Linked DNA regions of Danio rerio. The protein of the gene in region 3 purifies or fractionates together with the protein of the main gene of each other region. This does not show direct contact. Links are inferred from orthologs where the notes say so. Each region holds a gene or a part of one and is shown on either strand. Other genes may lie near its edges.

Region 1 (4,008 bases), about 53 Mb from region 3:
AAAGGCACAGCTAAAGTAGTTCCGGCAGGTTTAGAGCGCATTACAGCTCCATATCTAGTTATATCTCAGCTACAACAGTCAGATATCACAACAGAAGGAGGAGATGTGGAGGACACACACCTGACTAATACTACATCTCAGCAGCGGTGCAGGAGAAGAGGAGAGCAGTCATCACCTGCGGCTGACAGCGGATTATCAGAGAATAATGCACAGCTGAGGTGTAATGCTTTAACTTTTTAAAACTCAACAGAGCGGAGTAAAATATCCCATACATCACTTTAATAAATATGAATGTTTTATTAAGAGATGACGTGTAATTTTCATTCCCTTATCTTATTGTTCCATGTCATATTTTTCATTTTACTTTAATGATGCTGAAAGAACAGAGTAAAACAAATAGAAAAGCACAGTGGTCAGGCGTGTACAATAATACATATAAATAAAAGCACACACAACTATTTTAATTGCTTTTTTATTAGTAGCATCATTAATGGTTATATATATATATATATATATATATATATATATATATATATATATATATATATATATATATATATATATATTTATATATTTATATATGTATATATTTTTTATATATAAATTTATTTATTTATTTTATTGATAAAATATAGTTACAAAGTAAGGACAGAAGAAAGTTTGGAGAACAAAACTGAACAGAGGCTTAAAAATAATTAAAAAGTAAAATAATTCTCCAATTAATAATATTATATAGATTTTAGATAGAAACCCAATAATTTTTTGTAGTTTTAAATAGATCAATTTTTGGAGTTTATATTGGACGACTCTGAATTTTTTTAATTTCACAGATGAAAGTGGGTAAAAAAGGCTGATTGTTGGTGTGTTTGCTCATATATATATATATATATATATATATATATATATATATATATATATATATATATATATATATATATATAATATATATATATTTTTTTTTTGGATTGCCACAGCGGAATGAACCAAAAACTTATCCAGCCTATGTTTTACGGAGCGGATGCCCTTCCAGCCGAAACACAAAACTGGGAAACCGGAGCACCCGGAGGAAACCCACGCCAACACGGGGAGAACATGCAAACTCTACAAAGAAACACCAACTGACCCAGCCGGGTTCGAACCAGCGACCTTCTTGACGCCACCGTGTCGCATTCAAGTTGTATATTTTACGTCATCCAGCAAGACGAGCTCAGCGCATGTCGGAAGTGACGTATCGGTGAGAGAGCGCACACACGTGTTTTTATCTGCATGTTTCCGCAGCACATGTTTGTGTTTATACGAGTGTGTGAATCTCCATCGAACCGCTGTGAAGTTTAAGCCGGAGAACCGTCGCCATGAGCGGGCAGCAGCAGCGCCTGCCCCCGCCGGACTTCAGCGCGGAGCCTCAGCAGAGCTCCAGAGCCTTTCAGGCGGCCCGAGACTGGAGCTGGAGCCAGCCGGAACCCGGGGTGTGGAGCTCCAGAGGCGGACACAGAGCCGCGCAGCCCCGCGCAGGTACACATTGCTGGAGAACTTTCATAATAGTTATAGTTCAAAAGCAGCTTTACAGCAGGCGCACATCACAGGAAAAAGCCGGATAGTTTGGCTGGACAGTATATATATAAGCACAGTTAATCTCAGGGGTGTAGAGTTACTAACTACAAATACTCAGACTACTGTAATTGAGGAGTTTTGCTCGATATTGTACTTTACTAAGTAGTTTTTAAAAATGTGCTCTTAATTTACTTGAGCACATGTTAACTGCAGTATCAGTGCTGTTACTCCACTACTGTCCTTCATCCTGCATCACTGCTGTATTTACTCTCCTCTATGGGGATCAGAGAGATCAGTGCTGATTCCTGCCCAGTCAGATCACAGAGAAGCTAAACCCATCATACTGAACTATCTCTAGACACGTGCGATTCCAAACAGTTTGCAGCAGTTATGCAGCATTAAAAGTGTCCAAGAAGATGTGCAGAATCTTCACACACCTGACCCAGACACTGTTTAGAGGATGTCAGTGATGAGAAGACGGCGGATGTTTACTGTATGATGAAACACCCAGCGGGTACAAGAAGCCAACATGATGTCAGATTGATGTTGTCCCCTGAGGACATAGGGCAGCTGTGTCCAAACTCAGTCCTGGAGGGCCGGTGTCCTGCTGAGTTTTGCCATAACTTGCTTCAACACACCTGCCAGAAAGTTTCTAGTATACCTAGTAAGAGCTTGATCAGCTGCTTCAGGTGTGTTTGATTAGGGTTAGAGCTCAACTCTACAGGAGACCGGCCCTCTAGGACTGAGTTTGGACACCCCTGTCATAGGGCTATGACGGTGCATTTTATTTGGAAATGAAAATCGGGTTGACGTCAGAACTCAACGTCAATGTCCAACCTAAAACCAACCAAATATCAACGTCTAATGATGTCACAGCTTGTCGTTGTGTGGACGTTGCCACTGTGACGTCTGTCAGATGTTGGATTTTACATTTACATTTAGTCATTTAGCAGACGCTTTATTCACACAACTATAAGAACAACAATGAAGAAGTGCTGTCGGCAAGTTTGTAAGAAGCAAAACATCAGTCAATTTTTTATTTATTTATATTTTCTGTAGTACAGTTAGCGGTGGAGTCAGAGAGGCAATTGCAGATTAGGAAGGGAAGTGGAGACTAAATAGTTGAGTTTTTAGTGGTTTCTTGAAGACAGCGAGTGACTCTGCTGTTCTGATGCAGTTAGGGAGTTCATTCCACCAACTGGGCAGATTGAATGCGAGAGTTCGGGAAAGTGATTTCTTCCCTCTTTGGGATGGAACCACGAGGCGACGTTCATTCACAGAACGCAAGTTTCTGGAGGACACATACATCTGCAGAAGTGAGAGCAGATAAGGAGCAGCAAAGCCAGAAGTCACTTTGTAGGCAAACATCAGAGCTTTGAATTTGATGCGAGCAGCAACTGGCAGCCAGTGCAAACGGATGAGCAGCGGAGTGACATGTGCTCTTTTAGGTTCATTAAAGACCACTCGTGCTGCTGCGTTCTGGAACAGCTGAAGAGGTTTGATAGAGTTAGCTGAAGCCTGGCTAGTAGAGAGTTGCAGTAATCCAGTCTGGAGAGAACAAGAGCTTTTGGTTGTCATACCTGATGAATAAATAGGCTCGTTTGAGGTGCACCTCGCCTTGTAAACGAGAGCAGGCGTGCGCAGTAAGAGGAGGGCTCAAAAATTACATCAGAAGTCGGACACCTGCTGAATCTCGCTGTTTAGCCACCTGGAATCGTCACCAGTGGCGGAGATCTCGTACGCGTTTTTTATCGCAGACGAATGACCTCATGAAAAAATACTATGGTGATTTATAGCAAATATTATAGCATTTTTGAACATGTTTATTCAGTATTGGGTTGTGTTTATAGTTGTTGTGATACCAGAACTATAAAATTTAAATAGGCTATTTTATAACATGGTTCAAAAGCACTACAGTATACATTACTATAGTATTTTTTAATGTGGGAGTGGATGCAATAGAAATATCACTGTTTTTACAGAGATTTTCAGAATTACAGAAGATGAACAGCTCATTAACTAAAAGAGTGTATTAAAAATATAATTCTGTATATTCAACAAACGTTAAAAGAATAACAAAATAAACAACTTATACAGCAAGAAAACTCTCAAGAAACCTAATTTGGCTTCATTATAAATGAAGTAGCCATAGCAAGATGCTTTTGAGTGACGGTTCATGACAAATGTTTGTTTGACAAATAAATTCTTAGGGGGTTAATTATATTGACAAGCTTATTAGGTCTATAAAAACTGCTTTTACTCCAGCCAGACTAAAATAAATAGCCCAAGACTTTCTCCAGAATAAAAACTACTAGACTGTAGGAAAAACTGTGGAAATGTTCTTGGTCTATTAAACATGACTTTTGACTCCACATACATATACATATATATATATACATATGTGTGTGTGTGTGTGTGTGTGTGTCTTGTTTACTACACCCTTTTCACTTCTCATAC
Region 2 (4,098 bases), on a different chromosome or scaffold from region 3:
GTAGGAAGTTTCCAGAACTATACATCAAATAATTAATATATTTCAAGATTTTTTAAACAAACTATTTCTCATGATTTTTTAATAATGATTATAAAGATTTTTATAACCATTCAAGATTTTTAAAATGAAATGCATCATTCACTTTTGTTCATATCTCTGACAGTTTTACCAATTAAAGTTAAGTATTAATAACTACAGAAAATTGGTTGCTCTACAATTTTTTGCCAAAATTTTGCCATGGCCTTTTTTTTTTTTTTTGGTTTTAACAAACTTATCCCTCAAGTTTTTCTAAACTTTTATAAAAACATTCCTCCTTTCCCACTGCTGTTGCTGTCACGTTACGTGGACATTGGAAAAATAAGACCTGTGCAAAAATATTTAACCTAGAACAGCAAATTTAAGACTTTTTAAGGCCTAAAAGTTCGATTTTTAAATTTGTAGACTTTTTAGGACCCCGCAGAAACCCTGCTGTATGGTGATGACACCCAAAGGTTATTTTTATATGATTATTTACTTTTTTAAGGAACTAAATTAATATATAATTCCTAAAAAACATTGGCACGGCACTGCCTTAAAATAGCCACAATCAGGGATGGGCTGGGTTGGGCTTTTGTCTACCTGAGATCGCTCTAAGATTTCAGTCAGTTGAATGAGTTTAGAGGAGTGATTGTGTGTGTGTGTGTGTGTGTGTGTGTGTATGTGTATATATATATATATATATATATATATATATATATATATATATATATATATATATATATATATATATATATATATATATATATATATATATATATATATATATATTTTTTTTTTTTTTTTTTTTTTTTTTTTTTTTTTGCATGTATGGTTATGACCGTGTACCAAGCTTAATTCTGGGAATGGGAACGTATTACAGTAAAAGGTAGCAGTTTTATTTTACCCAATAAATGCATTGATACTATCCTCTAATTTTAATACAGTCAATCAAATGAACTTAAACTATTAAGAAATGCAACAAATATTTGTTTGGGCCTGAGCTAGAAAATCAAATTTAAGTTTTTGTATCAGTTTTGCTTAAGTAGCGGACTAGTCTGATCATGTATAAATATCATTATAAATGTATTGTATAAACATTATTATAACTAGGTCTACATCATGCTGACATTCAAAAACAAAGTGACATGAAGAACTAACCACTGATCTTCTATATAGAAACAAAATATATCATCAGTGATGTTTTTTCTCATGTGTGATATTTGATACATGAACGAAGAATCCAGAACTCATGTAGACGGTCACTTGTTTCCCCCGGACGAATTTCCAATGCGCACCCATTCAGATACAACCGCCTTTCGCGAGAGAACATGGCAGCGCAGGTATGTTATAAATAACGTTTTATTTCTGCTTTCTTGACCTATTTGCTACCTGCTCAGGTTAAACACATAACACAAATGTATGCACCACTACTTTGTGCTGTATGTATGCCGTTGAAATGTTTTGTTAATGACAATAAATACGTTTCATATGTGAGTGAGCTCGCTTTTAGCACATGTGCGTCAATGTATTACAACAATAATTCCGAATACAGAAGTTTGGTATTTTGATGTGTGAATTTGTGAAAGTTGCTTTTATTGAGACATTTGGACTTTGGGAATCCTCAGAGAACTCTTATCCAACGTTAACGTGAACATGAAGCTTGTTTTATTGTTGTTCACCTAACGTTATCATGTCAACGTTTCTGTAATATGAAATTCATATAACATTACGTACATCGCTTTATTAGAGCATATGCCACGAATTACTGTATTAAAACTGTGCATCTTACGTTATATATTTGTGCTAAGTTAACGTTACATTGCTAATGTTGCCGTTCAGCTAACGTTAGTTCTTCTGCTGTGTTGAATGTGTCACTATGGCAACGCAAGCGCCTAACGTCTATTGAGCGGTCAAATTACATATAAATAACACTCACATACACAAAAACACAATAAAATATGTCTTTATAAATAACTTTTAAACGAATATTATATTTACCTGTTTGTTCACTAATGTAGGTGGCAACCACAAAGGTTCCGGAGGTGCGGGACATCACTCGCATTGAGAGAATCGGTAAGAAAACACCTAACGTTATCTATCCTAAAATAAGTTAAATAAAAAAATACAAAACAGCACTAATGCAATGAGAAGATATTTTATTTGCTATATACTAAATGGGGGCAACATGGTGGCTCAGTGGTTAGCACTGTTGCCTCACAGCAAGAAGGTCGCTAGTTCGAGTTCTGGCTGGACCAGTTGGCATTTCTGTGTGGAGTTTGCATGTAGACGTGGGTTTCCTCCGGGTGCTCCGGTTTCCCTCACAGTCCAAAGACATGAGCTATAGGTATATTGAATAAACTAAATTAGACATATAGTGTATGTGTGTGAATGAGTGCGTATGGATGTTTCTACCAGTTTGAGGCACGAAGGGCATCTGCTGTGTAAAACATATGCTGTATGAGTTGGCGGTTTATTCTGCTGTGGCGGCCTTTGATGAATAAAGGGACTAAGCCAAAGAAAAATGAATGAATGAATGAATGAATATACTAAATGGAAATACAAAATCAAGCAAAGTTGTTCCTGAAGTGACACACATCTTGGCTTTTCTCATAGGCGCACACTCTCACATTCGTGGCCTTGGGTTGGATGATGCTCTGGAGCCACGACAGGTAATCTTAGACTCTAATTGATTTACCAGTGGCTTAAATGTGAATCACAGTGTGTTTATAATAAACAATTCTAAATTATAAACCTTTCTCCTTCACTAGGTGTCTCAGGGGATGGTGGGCCAGCTGGCATCTCGAAGGGCAGCCGGGCTGATTCTTGAAATGATCAAAGATGGTCAGATTGCTGGTCGCGCAGTCCTTATCGCTGGCCAACCTGGGACGGGCAAGACAGCTATTGCTATGGGTGTGTTATTTTCATAATAATTATTATGAATAATTCAATTTAGAGTAAATAACTCATTTACAAAGTTAAACTAAGCTGTTGCACAGCATTTGTACTTTTTTTTTAAATCACTGTAGTTGTGTGTATCATTAATTTCTTAAATGTTATGTGTAAATGGTACAGATGCATAAAGGACTCATTAACAGGGTTCATATCGTCATGGAAAACCTGCAAAGTCATGGAATTTTCACATGACATTTTCCAGGCCTGAAAAAGTTTTGGAAAAACAAAAAACCCACAAAGTTTTGGAAAAGTCATGAAAAACAGATATCTGTGTACTGTACTGTGTACTCTCACATTATTAGTGCTGTGTAAGCATTTTCTAAATCAATTTTACATAGAAATAAAAATTAATTGAAACTTAAGTAGATTGCTGGGTATTTTACGATATGTTGTAAGAAATTGGAATATGCATTGTTTTTCTTTTACTACGCATATGTAGACATTGCATGAAACATTAGGTCATGAAAATTTACTTTAAAGCCTTGGAAAAATCATGTTAAATTTAATGAAATTTTAGTAGTAAAAATTTGTCTGAACTCTGCTTTAGCATTCAAAACAGTGAAAGCTTAATAAAGCTTTATATGTCATCCACATACGTTAGAATGTGTCCTATTTACTTAATTTTGCAAAAATTTGTTTAGTTTTTTTTCATATAATTTTTATGTTTTTATGCTAAATTATGGAATATTATGTTATTATTATAGATGGGCATAGATTAAATTTTTTTTAATCTCGATTAATTTTGGAATTAATCTAGATTAAAATGGCTCATTTGATTTCTGCCGAAGGCATTCAGAATATGCGTGCTACCCAAATATTAAGTCTTTGAGAACGAGTTTCTAAAGCCAGGTGGCACATTAGACCGGGGACTCATCTCCTGTTTCCAAAATGCATCACAAACTGCTTGAGAAACTGTTCTACTATGATAATTGGTGATGAAAATAAAGGATGTTCAATAAGACGTACTTGTGTTTACTAACTGTTTATTCAGTTAAACACGGATTTTGAACTGTAGGCCTACATAAGCTCGAAACAGCTAATTATTATTATTATTATTATTATTTTGATCACCTTAATCCGACTAAAGTCATAACTGAACTTAACAGAAATGGAATTAAGACGTGGAGT
Region 3 (3,154 bases):
GAGGATGGCTTGAGTAAATGATGGGGCTAATTCTCATATTTGGGTGAACTAATTCTTTAAGGTTTCCACAAAAGCGCCTTGTTTCTTGAGCACAAAATCAACAAATCGCAATAATATGGCTTAAATTCTGCTTTGCCATCACAGCAATAAATTACTGTTTTTAATGCAGAACATGATCTTTTCACTTCCTATCAGTGATGTAAAGGTATATGACCCTTCTGGTGACTCAACACTCCCCACCGTCTCGAAGAAGAGGAAGATTGAAGAGGTCGAGGAGGCCGAAGAGGAAGACCAGCCCATAGAGGCTAAAGCCAAGAAAGTGAAGAGGGAAGCCCCCGCGGAAGGTGAACATCCATACGACATAACACCGCAGATACTGACACGCGTTACATTCAGATAAAGATTAAATGAATTTTTATCACAGGAGAGGCTGAAACAGAGACTCCAAAGAAGAAGAAGAAAAAGAAGAGGGCTGAGGAGGAACCCAAGCAGGAGGAGGAGGAGACTGCTGTCAGCCTGGTAGAAGAGGTCAGAGAGGAGGTCAGTCATAAATTCATCTGACTCATTATTATCCAGATGTGGGATCATTCGCTCGAGTCTAGTTCATGTGGTGTCCACATGGTCTTGTAGTCTTAATGTCTTAAGTTTCAAAAACAAAATTTTAGGCCTTAAAAATCTTAAATTGTGTCGTAGGTCTTAAATCATTTGGGTCTTAATATTCCTCTGTCAATGTAAAGCTACTGACTCATCCAATCAGTTTTTCTCAATAAAACATTAACAAGTTACGTTTTAACCCTATTTTGCCAATAAGATGCAATTCTTTCGAACGATAATATTTGTTTAAAAGTTCTCCTTGTCTTTGACGTTGTTCTGCATAAATTTGATAAATTATAGTAAAAAAAAATTTGTTAAAATAAGGGCATGTATATAACTAGAGTTTACTAGTTTTAACACTTTATGATGTGGCTAAGAAATTATAAAATTTTTGATGAAGTAAAACTTCCGTTTGCTCAATTGTGCAATTAGAATTTTTTTTTAGTCCTTTAAGTGTTAAATTTCATCATAACAGCCTTGAAAAGGTCTTAAAGTCTTTAATTTGACTTGGTAACACCCTGCATGGTCATGCTTTAAAGGTCATGCTTTAGTCTTTAGATCAGATTTTATTCCAATTTTATTGTTTGTGTTTGTGTTAAAGTGTTAGTTAACCTAAAACTGAGAAGTGTCATTTATTCACCCTTGTTAGAAACCCAAGGGTTTTTTTTTTTTTTTTTTTTATCCTGAGTTTTTTTATGTTTATTTTATGGACTTCAGTGGTTACACCATTCTTTAAAGTACTTTTTGTGTTAATGAAACCCTAAACTTGGCAGAGAGTGAACTTTTAATCTTTGGTTAACATCCTTTAAGTATGTTTTGTGGAATTTTAACAAGTTGCTTTTTGCTTTATAGCCGTCAAAAAAGAAAAAGAAACGAGCGGCTGAGGTGGAGCTGAAAGAGGAGCCAGAAGAGACTGTGGTAGAAGAGGTAAGAACCGTGCTACAAATACAATTATATTATATCATATTTATATTTTGAAGCTCTAAATTCCCCTTTCTTTCACAGACGACAGAAAAAAAGAAGAAAAAAAAGAAAAAGGTAAAAGAAGACGAATAAACCAACAGGACTCTTTCCATGAACTTTTTGTATATAAGACATTTTTATGGTGTTTTTGGACATTATATGGACATTATCCCCCTCTCAAACAGTTCCATTTGACTGTTGTCATTTGTTTAAAAAAATATGCATTTAATTTTTTAATTATAGGATGTTTTCTCCACACATTGCTTTGATTTGTGAGAGAAAAGTCCGTAAAATCCCATATTTGATTGAGTTTTTCTAGATCATGCAGTTCAGTTTGTCTTTTATCAATGAATGTTTTTAGTTAAAAGTGAGAACGGGGTCAAACTAAAGACGTCTGTGAGCATTGTGATGTAAAACTGGGTCATTTTGTCTCAGGTTTATTAAATACTGGATGTTTCTAGCATGTGGACTCATTGAATTATTATTATTATTTATTTATTTTTTACATTTAAACTGAGTTTTGTTTTTGTTGTAAGATCATTATGCTTAGTACATTGATTAGTATAGAAAGATATTAACATGCCAACTAATTGACCATTTACTAAAACTTTCTGTATTGAAATCCACTTGAAAAGAAGAAATATGGTTTACCGTGGTTTTAGTGGAGATGAAGCTGTGGACCATGAGAACGCTTGGCCAAAATCGTAGGATGAAGTACTTTGTGTTTTATTTGTGTGTTTTACATTCCTCTCTGGTTCCTCCTCTTTCCTTGTTCCAGTAAGATCAAGCCAAGTCAAGAAGATTTGCCAAAACGCAGCATAAATTTAGCCGACCATCAGCTTGTTCTAGGTCTAATGAGCAGGAGATAGAGCAGCTATTTTGGTTATCTCTTTAACATTAGAGGAAGTGACAGAATCTGGATATCGCTGAGCCAAGACACCAGTAAATCAGATTTATGGTGAAAATCAGCTCATTTTTAATTTCGCTAGCAAAAAGGTAAAACCCTTTATTATCTGAAGGTGCTCTAAAGTGAAAAATGTTAAGCCACATACACCTCTTTATTCCACATGGTGAAAACGGTGGTTGAGATCATATTAAATGAGATTTTTACTTCTGATAGTAACTTGTAATCTGTGTACATGCAAAACATTTACATCATGCCATAATATTAAGTATATTAAAATATTCAAACACCCCATAACTTAATTCAGGGTCAAGAAAAAGATTCTAGAAGCAATTTGTTTTTGTTTGTTTTGTTTTTGTTTTTTTCTTCATAAATGTTACTTCATTTGAGGTATTAACCTCCTAGGCGGGCTTAGTTGCCACATACATGGACAACACATTTTAGCTCTTAAGTGGCTATTTAAAATACTTTAAATGTTTTATATTTTGTTACATAGTGTCATCCTGCAGCTGTTTTGCAGCATATGAAATGTCCCAAACACTATTTTTAACTTCAAAATGGGCAGAAAATGTTTTACTCTCTAATATCCAAAACATGTTAAAAAAAATTGGTTTATGCATTAAAAAACAGTAAGGAAGTAGTGTTATGTAATTTCAGAACATGAGTTCACACAAGGACATTTTTTCCTGAAAG

Evidence for each region. Proteins that work in one complex are often made in the same cells at the same time.
Region 1: the proteins of nop58 (region 3) and nufip1 purify together in Homo sapiens (co-immunoprecipitation; 3 studies listed by BioGRID and IntAct, with this or other methods). This does not show direct contact. The link is inferred for Danio rerio from reciprocal best matches to the Homo sapiens genes NOP58 and NUFIP1.
Region 2: the proteins of nop58 (region 3) and ruvbl2 purify together in Homo sapiens (affinity purification with mass spectrometry; 5 studies listed by BioGRID and IntAct, with this or other methods). This does not show direct contact. The link is inferred for Danio rerio from reciprocal best matches to the Homo sapiens genes NOP58 and RUVBL2.

Annotation. Positions count from the first base shown.
Region 1 is NC_133181.1:63,100,446-63,104,453, forward strand, and holds the start of nufip1 (FMR1-interacting protein NUFIP1), read left to right. Parts: upstream 1-1,208; 5' UTR 1,209-1,214; coding exon 1,215-1,234; intron 1,235-1,263; exon of another isoform or gene 1,264-1,330; coding exon 1,331-1,512; intron 1,513-4,008. UniProt on the Homo sapiens protein: Binds RNA.
Region 2 is NC_133180.1:31,375,410-31,379,507, forward strand, and holds the start of ruvbl2 (ruvB-like 2), read left to right. Parts: upstream 1-1,298; 5' UTR 1,299-1,346; coding exon 1,347-1,358; intron 1,359-2,036; coding exon 2,037-2,091; intron 2,092-2,631; coding exon 2,632-2,687; intron 2,688-2,786; coding exon 2,787-2,928; intron 2,929-4,098. UniProt on the Homo sapiens protein: Possesses single-stranded DNA-stimulated ATPase and ATP-dependent DNA helicase (5' to 3') activity; hexamerization is thought to be critical for ATP hydrolysis and adjacent subunits in the ring-like structure contribute to the ATPase activity.
Region 3 is NC_133181.1:10,590,254-10,593,407, reverse strand, and holds the end of nop58 (nucleolar protein 58), read left to right. Parts: intron 1-195; coding exon 196-344; intron 345-424; coding exon 425-540; intron 541-1,446; coding exon 1,447-1,521; intron 1,522-1,599; coding exon 1,600-1,650; 3' UTR 1,651-2,449; downstream 2,450-3,154. UniProt on the Homo sapiens protein: Required for the biogenesis of box C/D snoRNAs such as U3, U8 and U14 snoRNAs. Part of the small subunit (SSU) processome, first precursor of the small eukaryotic ribosomal subunit.